Cricetulus griseus: one gene and its partner. The protein of the gene in region 2 interacts with the protein of the main gene of each other region in a biochemical or structural test. Links are inferred from orthologs where the notes say so. Each region holds a gene or a part of one and is shown on either strand. Other genes may lie near its edges.

Evidence for each region.
Region 1: the proteins of Cav1 (region 2) and Ptgs2 form a complex in vitro, tested with the Homo sapiens proteins (2 studies listed by BioGRID). The link is inferred for Cricetulus griseus from reciprocal best matches to the Homo sapiens genes CAV1 and PTGS2.

Annotation. Positions count from the first base shown.
Region 1 is NC_048598.1:41,413,270-41,418,917, reverse strand, and holds the start of Ptgs2 (prostaglandin G/H synthase 2), read left to right. Parts: upstream 1-1,698; coding exon 1,699-1,750; intron 1,751-2,521; coding exon 2,522-2,638; intron 2,639-2,760; coding exon 2,761-2,904; intron 2,905-3,443; coding exon 3,444-3,587; intron 3,588-4,110; coding exon 4,111-4,292; intron 4,293-5,223; coding exon 5,224-5,307; intron 5,308-5,428; coding exon 5,429-5,648. UniProt on the Homo sapiens protein: Dual cyclooxygenase and peroxidase in the biosynthesis pathway of prostanoids, a class of C20 oxylipins mainly derived from arachidonate ((5Z,8Z,11Z,14Z)-eicosatetraenoate, AA, C20:4(n-6)), with a particular role in the inflammatory response.
Region 2 is NW_023276806.1:209,232,721-209,238,608, reverse strand, and holds the start of Cav1 (caveolin-1), read left to right. Parts: upstream 1-2,033; 5' UTR 2,034-2,142; coding exon 2,143-2,172; intron 2,173-2,688; exon of another isoform or gene 2,689-2,819; intron 2,820-3,564; coding exon 3,565-3,729; intron 3,730-5,888. UniProt on the Homo sapiens protein: May act as a scaffolding protein within caveolar membranes. Forms a stable heterooligomeric complex with CAV2 that targets to lipid rafts and drives caveolae formation. Mediates the recruitment of CAVIN proteins (CAVIN1/2/3/4) to the caveolae.

The DNA.
Region 1 (5,648 bases), on a different chromosome or scaffold from region 2:
CATGCAATCCACTCAAAAGAAAACAGAAACCAAGAACTACTTAAAGGAACTACCTAAAATGAAAATGATCTGTGCATTTAGTTGAAATTTCACACAGGAATCGGTGTAAAAGGTTGGGAGTGCCAGAAATGGAGTGATTAAACATGACTAGAACAAAGGGCTGGATGAGATGGAATTTTAGTCACTATGTCTCATGTAGAATCAAATTAGCACACACATGAAGCAAATAGTTGAAAAAAATTCCATGAGTATTTTTAATTTCTCCAAGACTTCCTCAGATTGAGATATTTGGTATAGTTTTCTAATTGTTGTTTTCGTGGGTTTTTCCCTCATTGCTTTTCCTTTCTCTCTATAAATTTTTGTTTGGTTTGTTTGAGCCTAGGTCTTGTGTTGCCCAGTCTGCCTCAAACCATTTTCCTGAGGAAATAGTTTAATTTCAGACTCCATCCATGCTAAGAACAACAAAATTTTAATTGATTTCTTTAGTTTCCTAACTTCCTTATTTTTGCTTGTTTTTCACTATTCCATCCTCATATATCCTTTCCTGGCCACCACCAAACAGCAGAATGACATTCAAAACTGTCAAAAATCACCTTTCTATGCAATTAATTTCTTAACAATGTTTCAGAATGAATTGGGGTTTGAAGGTTAGCCAGAATAAGGCCAGTTATAGAAACATAGGTATTATCTTTTGACCCATGGCCATAACACACCTTCTTGGAAAAAAAAAAAAATGTGGACAGAAAAAGTCAAAAAAGTACATGTTTAAAAAAAAGAAGAAGAAAGAAAGAATTCCTTTTTAGTGATATATCCTGTAAAAAGAGTTGTTGATCGAAATAATAAAAGCACAGCAGCAGGGAGAGGAAAAAATACCTTATAGCAATGCCGTGGGCACTTAGCATTCCTATGAAGTGAAGCTCAGACTCTGTCCCTTGGAAACACCGGTGCTATGGGCGGGCTACGACCTAGGAGCCTGGGTGCTGTTCTGTGACAGACTTCACCCTACCCCCACCAGTACGGTGTGACCCTGACAGCAGACCCCTCACTTCATCAAAAATAGAATAAATTAAATAAATAAATAAAAAAAAAAAAAACGGTGGCTGTGTGTGCGCTCTGGGCAGCACGCACGTCAGACCGCCCCAGCGGGGGGCGGCGCGGGGATTCCCTGCGTTCCCACTTCGGATCTGGGAGAGGAACGTGACATCCCAGCGCTCCTTGGTCCCCGCCAGGAGCACTGGATGCGGGACAGGGAGGAAGCCGGGGACCCCAAAGAGAGTGAGCGTGGGCGCGGGCACAGGAACCGCTCGGGGCGCCAGGAGGGATGCGGGAGGGCGGCGCAGTTCTCTTGGCACCACCTGGGGCAGCCGAGGGCAGCTTCCCGGCTTCCCTCGTCTCCGTTTGCGTGGGTAAGAGCCCTGCCCCCACCCGCCTTGCGCAACTCTCCGAAGCGGAGGGGGTGGGGAAAGGCTATTGGGGGTAGGGGAAAGACTGGGCGGAAAGAACCAGTCACCGCAGCGTCACGTGGGGGAGGGGGGCCACTTTTTCAGGCATAAAAGCAAGGTTCTCCCCGTTAGCAGCCAGTTGTCAAACTGCGAGCGGAGAGCTCCAGGAGTGTCAGAAGACTGCCCACGAAGGAACTCAGCGCTGCGTCCCGCCAGCTCAACCACCTCCGCCACCACCGCCGCCGCCACCTCCGAGATGCTCTTCCGAGCTGTGCTGCTCTGTGCCGCTCTGGCGCTCACCCATGCAGGTAAGTGGCCCCGCACCCAAAGGTGCTGAAGGACTTCCAGCGCAGACCTCCTTTTTCTAGTGCGGGGACTGCGCAGTGGCAAACAGCCTGGACCACTTGGGTCAGGAGGAACGCAAGGATGGCTTGCTTTTGTCACTGGCTCTCAGGTTATGGGCCAATTACTTAGGGGAGCAGAGAGCTACTCTCATTTGCTTTAAAAAGCCAATAGCCAATAGTTTTCGGGTTGTCTTCATGGTAAGATATGATCTATACATGTGAATTGCAGGTGTGGGGCGACTGATTAGAAATGACTACTCTAAATACCCGCCAGTGCTTTTCTGCCCCCAAGAAAATCCAGAATACATTTTTAAAAAGATATTCAAAACGTTAAAAGTAAACTGTTTGACTTTGGTTTTCTTCACACTAAATTTTGACTAATGTACTAGATCGATCCATTTTAATTTCGAAAGTGCTACTTAACCGTTCTAATCTGAACATTTAAGAAGTTATTGTGAAAATGTTAATAATGTGAGCTATGATGTTAGGTCCTCTGCTTCTCTTGCTTAGAAAAAAGAAACTGCTAAGTCTATATTACAGCCATTTGATAAGACAGACTTAATTAAAATAGTCTCTCCCCCCAACTCCCCCTCCCGACTACCTGTGTATTTCTAACTTACCATTGTAAACTTGACCTATAGTAACACAATTAAATCTTTAAGTTAAGATGAGGATGACCAAGAGTGACTTACAGGCTGTCTTATTTTTATTCTTATGTTTTTTTTCTTAATGTAGCAAATCCTTGCTGTTCCAACCCCTGTCAAAACCGAGGTGAATGTATGAGCATAGGATTTGACCAGTATAAATGTGATTGTACCCGGACAGGATTCTACGGGGAAAACTGCACTATACGTAAGTTTCTCCTGGGGTTTCCTCCTTTGGAATGGGGCCACATGCAGTTACCATCATTTTGTACATTAGTGCCATGTGGGAAGTGTCTACTAATTTCTCCCTCCTGCTCTTTCTCTCTCCAGCTGAGTTTCTGACGAGGATTAAGTTGCTGCTGAAGCCCACCCCAAACACAGTACACTACATCCTGACACACTTCAAGGGAGTCTGGAACATTGTCAATAACATTCCCTTCCTTCGAAGTTCAATCATGAGATATGTGTTGACATGTAAGTACAAACCTCCCTTGCTTCTAGCATTCTCTGGCAAAAATATGCACTAGAAACCCAACACAAAGAAATATTCCCAACCTTTTCAAAATGGCTTGATATATACCTTTTCAACCCTCCATACTCCCCTTCCAAATGCCCACAACACTGACAAGTGATCCTGTAGCCAGGAAATGAACCCAACCTTCATTCCTGTGGAGGAAATATGCTTGTCTTGTTTGTTGAGTACCTATGGCTCCCAGAATTGTTCTGAACATGCAGCACCCTTTAAAGCAAATGGTTGAATGCCCAGCTGCTTCAGTCATTGGGATACAGGAACAGGGAGTAGGTGGTACCTGAAAACTCAAAGACTACTGGAGCATAAGGTCCTGTGTAAGGCTTGAGCTTATTGAAGACACATTTTCAGTTGCCTTTTAAAGCAGGGTATCTTTGTCTGAATTAAAGCCCATCTCTGTGCCTTCTATGTCGTACAATGATAAATAACATTCACTTGTTCTTTTCATATCAGGGACAATAAATTTTTTTCTTTAAAATTCCAGCCAGATCACATTTGATTGACAGTCCACCAACTTACAATGTGCACTATGGTTATAAAAGCTGGGAAGCCTTCTCCAATCTCTCCTACTATACCAGAGCCCTTCCTCCTGTGGCTGATGACTGCCCGACTCCCATGGGTGTGAAAGGTGAGTGGGAAGAAATAGAGCTGTAACAATTGCAGTGATGGTTGGGTGTGCACTTAGAAAGGGCACCTTAGTTTTTCATTCATTTAAAACTGTAACTTATATGGCTATCCACAGAGGATTTTTAAAGTGCCTATTCCATAAAAGTAAATCTTCACTTTGATATAATGTCTTATCATTATTATGTTGTGCTAAATAGAATTGGCATTGGTTAAAATAGGTAAAACTGTTCAATAAGTTGTTCCCCCAAAATTCTTGTACTCTTGGCAAGGTAACTCATTGCCTGTAATCTCAGCATTAGATGGACTTCAGGCAAAGGTTCATCAGTAAGCTCCAGGCCAACCTGGCATAGAGAGGGAGTTTGAGTCAGCATGGGGTATAAGCATAAGACTGTGCATCAAAGCAAAACAACTCCATTGGTGAGACTATGTTTAGAAGTGACGAATGCTCTCATGAATTAGACAGCCATCTGTTTGCTTCAACAAATATGTGAATGGGTTTTTACTTTTGAGTTTTTATGTTTCAGGAAATAAGGAGCTTCCTGATTCAAAAGAAGTTCTGGAAAAAGTTCTTCTAAGGAGAAAGTTCATCCCTGATCCCCAAGGCTCAAATATGATGTTTGCATTCTTTGCCCAGCACTTCACTCATCAGTTTTTCAAGACAGATCAGAAACGAGGACCTGGCTTCACCCGAGGACTGGGCCATGGGGTAAGACAGGCTTAACTCAGAATTAACGAAAATCCTTAGGAAAAGCTGACATCTTGCCATGCCAAACAAATCACACCCATTTTTTTATACAAATGTCATGTCTACTAAAGCCATAATAGAGTGTTCCATTTTCATTCACTAGTTGAGTAAAAATAAACAGACATACACAGAGATATTTTAATGTAAGCTATCCTTACATATTTAGTTTAAAATTTTGATCTACAAAAAATGCTACATCTTCTAAAACTTAATTAATTAATTATTGGTAACACTGGGAAGTGGCCTTAGGACTTGGTGATTGTTAAGCACTGTGCTCTATCATTGAGGTAGAGGCCCAACCCTCCAAAAAATAGCTGCACCCTGACTATGCTGCTTAAAATAATATAAAAATAACTATCATGGTTATAATGAGGCATGTACTGTATTTAATATAAAGTACTAATACCATTCAACATAAAGAGACTTACAGGAGTGAGTTGAGGGGAGACGGGGGGGGGGGTAGGAAAAGAGAATGGGAGGAGAGGAGGGAGGGATGTAAAATAAACTAATAAAAAAAGAGGAGTACAGGCTTGTAGCGCTGGAAGACATTATTTTAGTATTTTGTGACTATGAAGAAGTCATTTGTTGGACTTGATAACTCAGTGTTTAAGAACACTTAGCGCTTTTGCTGAGGAGCCAGCTTAAGTTCCCAACACCCACTTGGTAGTTAAACCATCTATCTCTAGAACCATCAGTTCTAGGGGATTTAATGCCTCCTTCTGACCTGGTTGGGCGCCTGGCATATACCTGATGTATATACATACATATAGGCAAGCACTCATACATATAAAAATAATCACTTGTTGAATTTTAAAGAAAGCTAAGTCATCAAAATTTAATAACAAATGATAGTAAGGCATCAATAAATTGAAATTTCTCCATAATTTTCTAGGTGGATTTAAACCACATTTACGGTGAAACTCTAGACAGGCAACATAAACTGCGCCTTTTCAAGGATGGAAAATTGAAATATCAGGTATTTTCCTTGCATTTTTAGGAATTGTCACCTGCCATTTACATTTACATTTTGAAACTGCTGCTTGTGTGTGTGTGTGTGTATTTGTTTTGACTCTGCTATTTTTACTGTTGTGGCTTAGGTCATTGGTGGAGAGGTGTATCCTCCTACAGTCAAAGACACCGAGGCGGAGATGATGTACCCTCCTCACACCCCTGAGCACCTACGGTTTGCTGTGGGGCAGGAGGTCTTTGGGCTGGTGCCTGGTCTGATGATGTATGCTACCATCTGGCTTCGGGAGCACAACAGAGTGTGTGATGTGCTTAAACAGGAGCATCCTGAGTGGGACGATGAGCAGCTAT
Region 2 (5,888 bases):
CTGCACCTTGACTTCTCATGGGATTGGGAGTTGCTGCTCCCAGCCAGCTATAACAACCAGCATAACAGCTGCTTGTCTTTGGTGCCTGCTTCTTGTTGAGGCAGGTTACTTAAACAGTTTGTGGTTTTTCCATTCATTAGGAATTCATCTTGGCATTGACAACGCTTCACTGGTCGTTATGATGCCAAGCATCGTTGTTGCTTACGGGTTTGCCCGTGAGGTGGCTTTCCCTCTTTCCCTCTGCTGAGGATGACTTAGGCATTCACTGGAGGACCTCTCCTGAGGTTTCCCTTCCTGCCTGGAATGCAAGACAAGCTCTCCCCATTCCTGTTGACTTCTTCACAGTCAGAATTACTCATCAGCAATTGAAAACTGAGTAATACTAGGTGGGAACCAGTTACCACATTTCCCCTAGAACAGACCCAGAATTGCCTTGCAGCAGATATCGATCGATGAAAGGAAATGTAGTTAGTAGAGAAAGCGCACTCCAAGAGATCATCTCAAGTGGCCAATGCAGGATACTTGGAATCAAAGAGCATCCTTTTTCTGGTGGTCTATCATGCGCGTTGGCACACAGGTTGATGAAAGACTTTAGAAAAGGTAATTTAGCAGACATAAAACCAAGGAAATTTGCCTTTTGGAAGATCTTTAATCTCATGGTGAATAATAGCTAGCATAAGTGATGTTTATCACACTTGCTGTCCCTAGTTAAAATTGATCCTTTTATTTTTACAACGTATGACTAATCACCCTTATTTGATCAGTATAATACATGCAAGCATTGAAATATCACATCATTAGCATATGGTCATCACATGCTAGTCAAAATAGTTAATTCAAAAACTGGATTGCCTTTTGTCCCCATCAGCAAGGGCCCAATCTGCTGATGTCATTGCTCTTTCCATGTCTTCTTTCCAGCCAGATGATCAGGTGTTTTGGGGTGTCATTCTCTATCCTCAGACACGTGTTTCCTCTTCATCTTCCCCCGATCCCATGTTCCTGCCTCCTGGTAGCCATTTTTTAAATTTATCTTCTGCCCTTTCCAGTGTGCTATGCAAGGGTTTGTGTATGGATGCTTAGGTAAAAAACATCCTTCTCAGTTTATGGCGTGTGAATTTCATACCTGCTGCCTTGTGTTAGTTACTCAATTCTTTAGCAAGAAGCAACTATCGTCTGTTTGATTTTTCTTTACAATAAAATACAGGAGGTTGGCAGATTTTGAAACTGATCTATTAGTTGTTAACTTAAAAAAAAGTCTAGTCATTTTGTCAAAACCCATCTCCTCTCACAGTTAAGCATATCTTTCTGGGCAGGCGTCCTTTAGAACTGAGGATGTAGTTTAGTAGTAGAGTGTTTACCTCCAGGCAGAATGCCCAATGCCCGGATTTGATCTCAAGCCAGCAAGAAAAACCCACTCTGGTAACGAACCTGAACCTCTAACTAAAATTTTCTACAGTTGAAAATGTTCAAAGTACTTATGATTACGGCACAACCTGTTGATAGAAATTTCATTTTCTTTTTTGTAGAGATTGATAATGACTTTACCGGCACCCACACAGATTCCTTCCTTGTGTTTATATGTAAAGTGCTCCTTCGGGTTCCCAGTCAGAGACAGCCCAGTCCTGGGAGATAATGGAATGTGGGCGAAGTTGGGAAGCAGCTTAGGACAGGGCAGAATTCCTCCTGCCGCGCCGGATGCCCATACTGGGCATCTTTGCAGACTCTTATGCTCCCTCCACCCCTGCTGAGATGATGCACTGGGAAAACATTCGCTCTCCCAGGGATGCCTCTCTGTTGGTTTATAGCTGGGAAAACGTTGCCCCGGGTCTAAAATATCTGCCCAAACAGCCTAGCGCTGATGAAGGCTTTCTCACAGGCTCTCAGCTCCCCGCGGGCGCTCCCCGCCCTCTGTTGCCAGAACCTTGGGGATGTGCCTAGACCCGGCGCAGAGCACGTCCCAGCCAACTGAGAGAAGAACAAACCACTGGCGGACAGCCAAGAGGCTCCCTCCCAGCCACCGCCCCCCCGCCCCCGCGCCAGCGCCTTTTCCCCCCTATACAATACAAGATCTTCCTTCCTCAGTTCTCTTAAATCACAGCCCAGGGAAACCTCCTCAGAGCCTGCAGCCAGCCACGCGCCAGCATGTCTGGGGGCAAATACGTAGACTCCGAGGTAGGCTTGGGTGAGGGCGCGCCGGCTCTAAAGTGCCTGCTTTTGCTATCTCCCACTCCAAATGCTCGGGCTGCTTTCCTGGCCCCAGCCCTCTCTCCACCTTCACAGCACTCCCCTCGTGCTGGCACCGCTGAGGAATGGACCTGGGTGGGGAGCTGAAGAAAAGCCAGGGGTGTTTTAAGGCTTCCTTTTGGAGAGGCGACCAATGGAGCCCACCGGGCAAAGGAGGGTCGGGGTGCCGCGTTGGTAGTCGGCCGGACTTAGAAAAGTTTTTCAGATGGCACCGTTAAGACCCCCCCCACCCCGGACAAGCCCCTACTTACTGGGAGGCTGAGAGCTGGTGCAGTGTGTGTGTGTGTGTGTGTGTGTGTGTGTGTGTGTGTGTGTGTGTTGGGGTGGCGTCATTTGGCCACAGTTCTAAGGACAGTCCCCATCAGGAGCCTAAAGTGGCTGGCCTGGGCGGTGGCGCGCGCGTGTTGCACTTTGAGCAAAGTTCTAGAGCACTTCTATAATTTCTGCCCCTGGGCGGCGGCCGGGATGGGGGGTTCCGAGGTGGGGGACCCTCCTTCCTCAACAAGTACCACCACCATTGGCAACTACTTCTTGGCACTCAGATAGCATAAAGGTGGAGACCTCGGTTCCCAAAGGTGACTACCGTTCAGCCTCGGGCAGACAGCCTGGGGGTGATCTAAGTAAGGGTGGGTCAGGGAGTCCTTCAGGTGAGATGTCTTCCAGAACATTTTGAGGGGTCGGGCATATGCCTCGGCTCAGAGATGAAAGTATGATAGCTATCCACGCACCTCATCCACCCCCACGGCCTAGGGAAAGCCGTGAAGCAAAAGGAGCTAAAGGGTAGGGGACGCGGCAGGTGCGGAGGAAGACGCAGGGAGAGACAGAGAAGATGGGACCAGCCCCTGTCTGTATGGTCCAGTGGGATCTTAAAGATAACGGTGGAAGGGATCGGGAACAGGATTAACAGGGTCAGGACGGGTCAGTGGAGCAGGTGAGGCTCTGGGGACGCGGGTGGCCTGGAGGAGAGAAGGGGTACAGAGCAGGAGGAACGCGAACCCCCTGGGCTGGGGAGTCGCTGCCAGGAGCTGCAGGGAGCAGGAGGGCGAGCATGGGGCTTCGCCCTGACCCCTGGCGGCCGGCGAGGGAGGCAGGCGCTCCCTGCCTGGTACCGAGGGGTGTGGTGTCCTTCCCTCCGTCCTCTTAAAAAGCTTGCGGCACTGGAGTTTTCTGTGCGCAAAGCCTTCAGGGTTGAAGTTAGCCGAGACTTGGAGCTCCAGGCTCCCCCGACAACAGGCTGACTTCTGACGCTTGTTTTTCTTTCTGAACTTTTTTCCCACTGCCTTTGCCATCCTCCCCTGGCTTGGCCGGCTGCCTTCACAGGGACATCTCTACACCGTTCCCATCCGGGAACAGGGCAACATCTACAAGCCCAACAACAAGGCCATGGCAGACGAGGTGAATGAGAAGCAAGTGTACGACGCGCACACCAAGGAGATTGACCTGGTCAACCGGGACCCCAAGCATCTCAACGATGACGTGGTCAAGGTAAGCCATGGTGGCTGTCTGGGTCCCACAACCCTTCTCTCTCAAGTAATTGGGCGTCCTTTCATAGCTTTGTCACACTGGCACTGTTTCCTAGGCTTGGCTGTATGTGAACCCCTGGTCCCTTGTCAGAAAGGTCTCATCTGCCTTGCCTCCTCCTACTAGCTAGTTGAACAGAAATTTAGCTAAAGTGAGCCTTGTGGGAGTTCACAGAACCTCAGCCACAGGTGGGCCCCCACATTACTTGGGAAAAGAAGATGACTGTGGTCCATTGCCAGGTTAATAGTCCAGTGACAGGTAAATAATAGTGTGCACCACGGTGAAGGTCAGAATACAGTATAAGCATATTCCTTCAGCTAAAGCAATCTAAAGTGATTAGATTAAAAATAATAAATGAGTGGAAATGCTTAAAACTATCTTATATGTATATATTTTGTATGCAATTGCATATATATAATATACATATATATGAATAGGGTTTTAACTATAAAAACACAGCACATGTACAAGGCTAAGCCAATTTACCAAACTGAAAATAATTTCCACCTCTTAACTTCTGGATCCCTCTAGTTAGATGTGGAAAGATGCATCTGTGGTGACAGCCAAGGTCAGCCTGCCCTGGGCTAGCAGAACATTCAGGTTGGCGTTCCATTTTACACTTTGAGGATATACTTGCTGGGGTTTAAAATACATTACTTTCCTGGGTTGTTGGCCGAATGTAGACTTGACACAGTGGTCTGATTTTCATTATCATTTTGTTATTCAACTTTGACCCTTTTAGCAATTCTAGCTCAAGGAATTTATTGTCTGAGTCCGTGTGGGTTGAGAAATACTGGACTTGAGCTGTCCTTGGCAGAGGATTTCCTCTGAGTGGCCTGGAGGGCCAAGGAAAATCCTGGCCTCGGGGTTCCAGTGGGAAGGAAGCCCCTGTCCTGCCCAGCCGCTAATGCAGGCACCACTGAGGAGCTCATGGAGTTTCCACCCACAGACTCCTATCTATGGATGGGAGGAGCTCCAGTGCAGTTTCACCTTTATGAATAATATATTTTAGAAAGGGAAATGGTTTAATCTACAACTGGAGGGAAAGTGTACCTGTGAAAATTCACTCTCTTGTTTTGCTGGTAGAGAGAAAAGGAAAATTGACTGCTTTCTCCTGGCCAGATTGTGGAATACTTAAAACTAGAGATGAAGGCATCCCATAAACTGGAAGTTAAGCTTGCTAAAATCTGTTTGTTAGCCACACTTCCCTAAAGGGGAAAAGACATTTTGCTTCTCAACCTTCTTGTGCTGCCTGCTTTGGTCAAGGAGGGGGACTCAAAGGATAAAAGCAGATTCCAGGATCTCAGATCAGCTCCCTGTTTGTTGCCCTGTTCTCGGAGCAGGATTCCCTGGAGCAGACCGGCCTCCTGGGATGAGTCAGAGAGGCCAGCAGTGTGGATGTGGGCCTCCACACAGCATGACTAAGTGGAGAAAGCAGGCCCCACTGGGAAAAAGACTTCAACACAGATGGAAAAAAAGGCATGGCAGGCTCGGAGGAAATAGCAGTTTACAAAATACCATTTCAAGGGCAAGTGTGGGGAAACCTCAAACTAGAGAAATTAGAGGAGTTACATTAGTGCCTACCTACTTGCTCACAGAACCAGGAGCAAATCCAGCAGACAAGAAAAACCCACCTTGAGAAAAGAATGTGACAGGATTTAGGCAGAAGCCCCGCCTAGGAGGATGTCTTCAGAAAACACTCCCTCTGCGAAGAGAGACCCAGGCTGCCCCTGCACAGTCTGCTCCTCCCCTCTCCTGCACTAGTACCTAGAAAATTTCCACCATCCTAGAACTCTCTGCTGGACAGTGTCTGGCAAGAGAGTCCCCGGCTCTTCACAAATACCTTCATATCAAGATGAAAAACACAACTAAACAAACCCTCTATGTAGAGAAGAAACGAGGCCCAAATTTAAAGTATGAAGAACAGCACGGTTCATTGTCCACATCCTTTCAGGCCTACACATCAAGTATGGAGGCGTGGCAAGCCTCCAAAGGCTGTGTGCTCTGCACTTGAGCTTCAGTAACACACAGCATAATTACCCAGTCCACTGGTGACAAGAGTATCAGTTTAAGTATAGAATTGATTGCCAATAAAAATCATTTTCTTGTAGAGCTTTGCCATC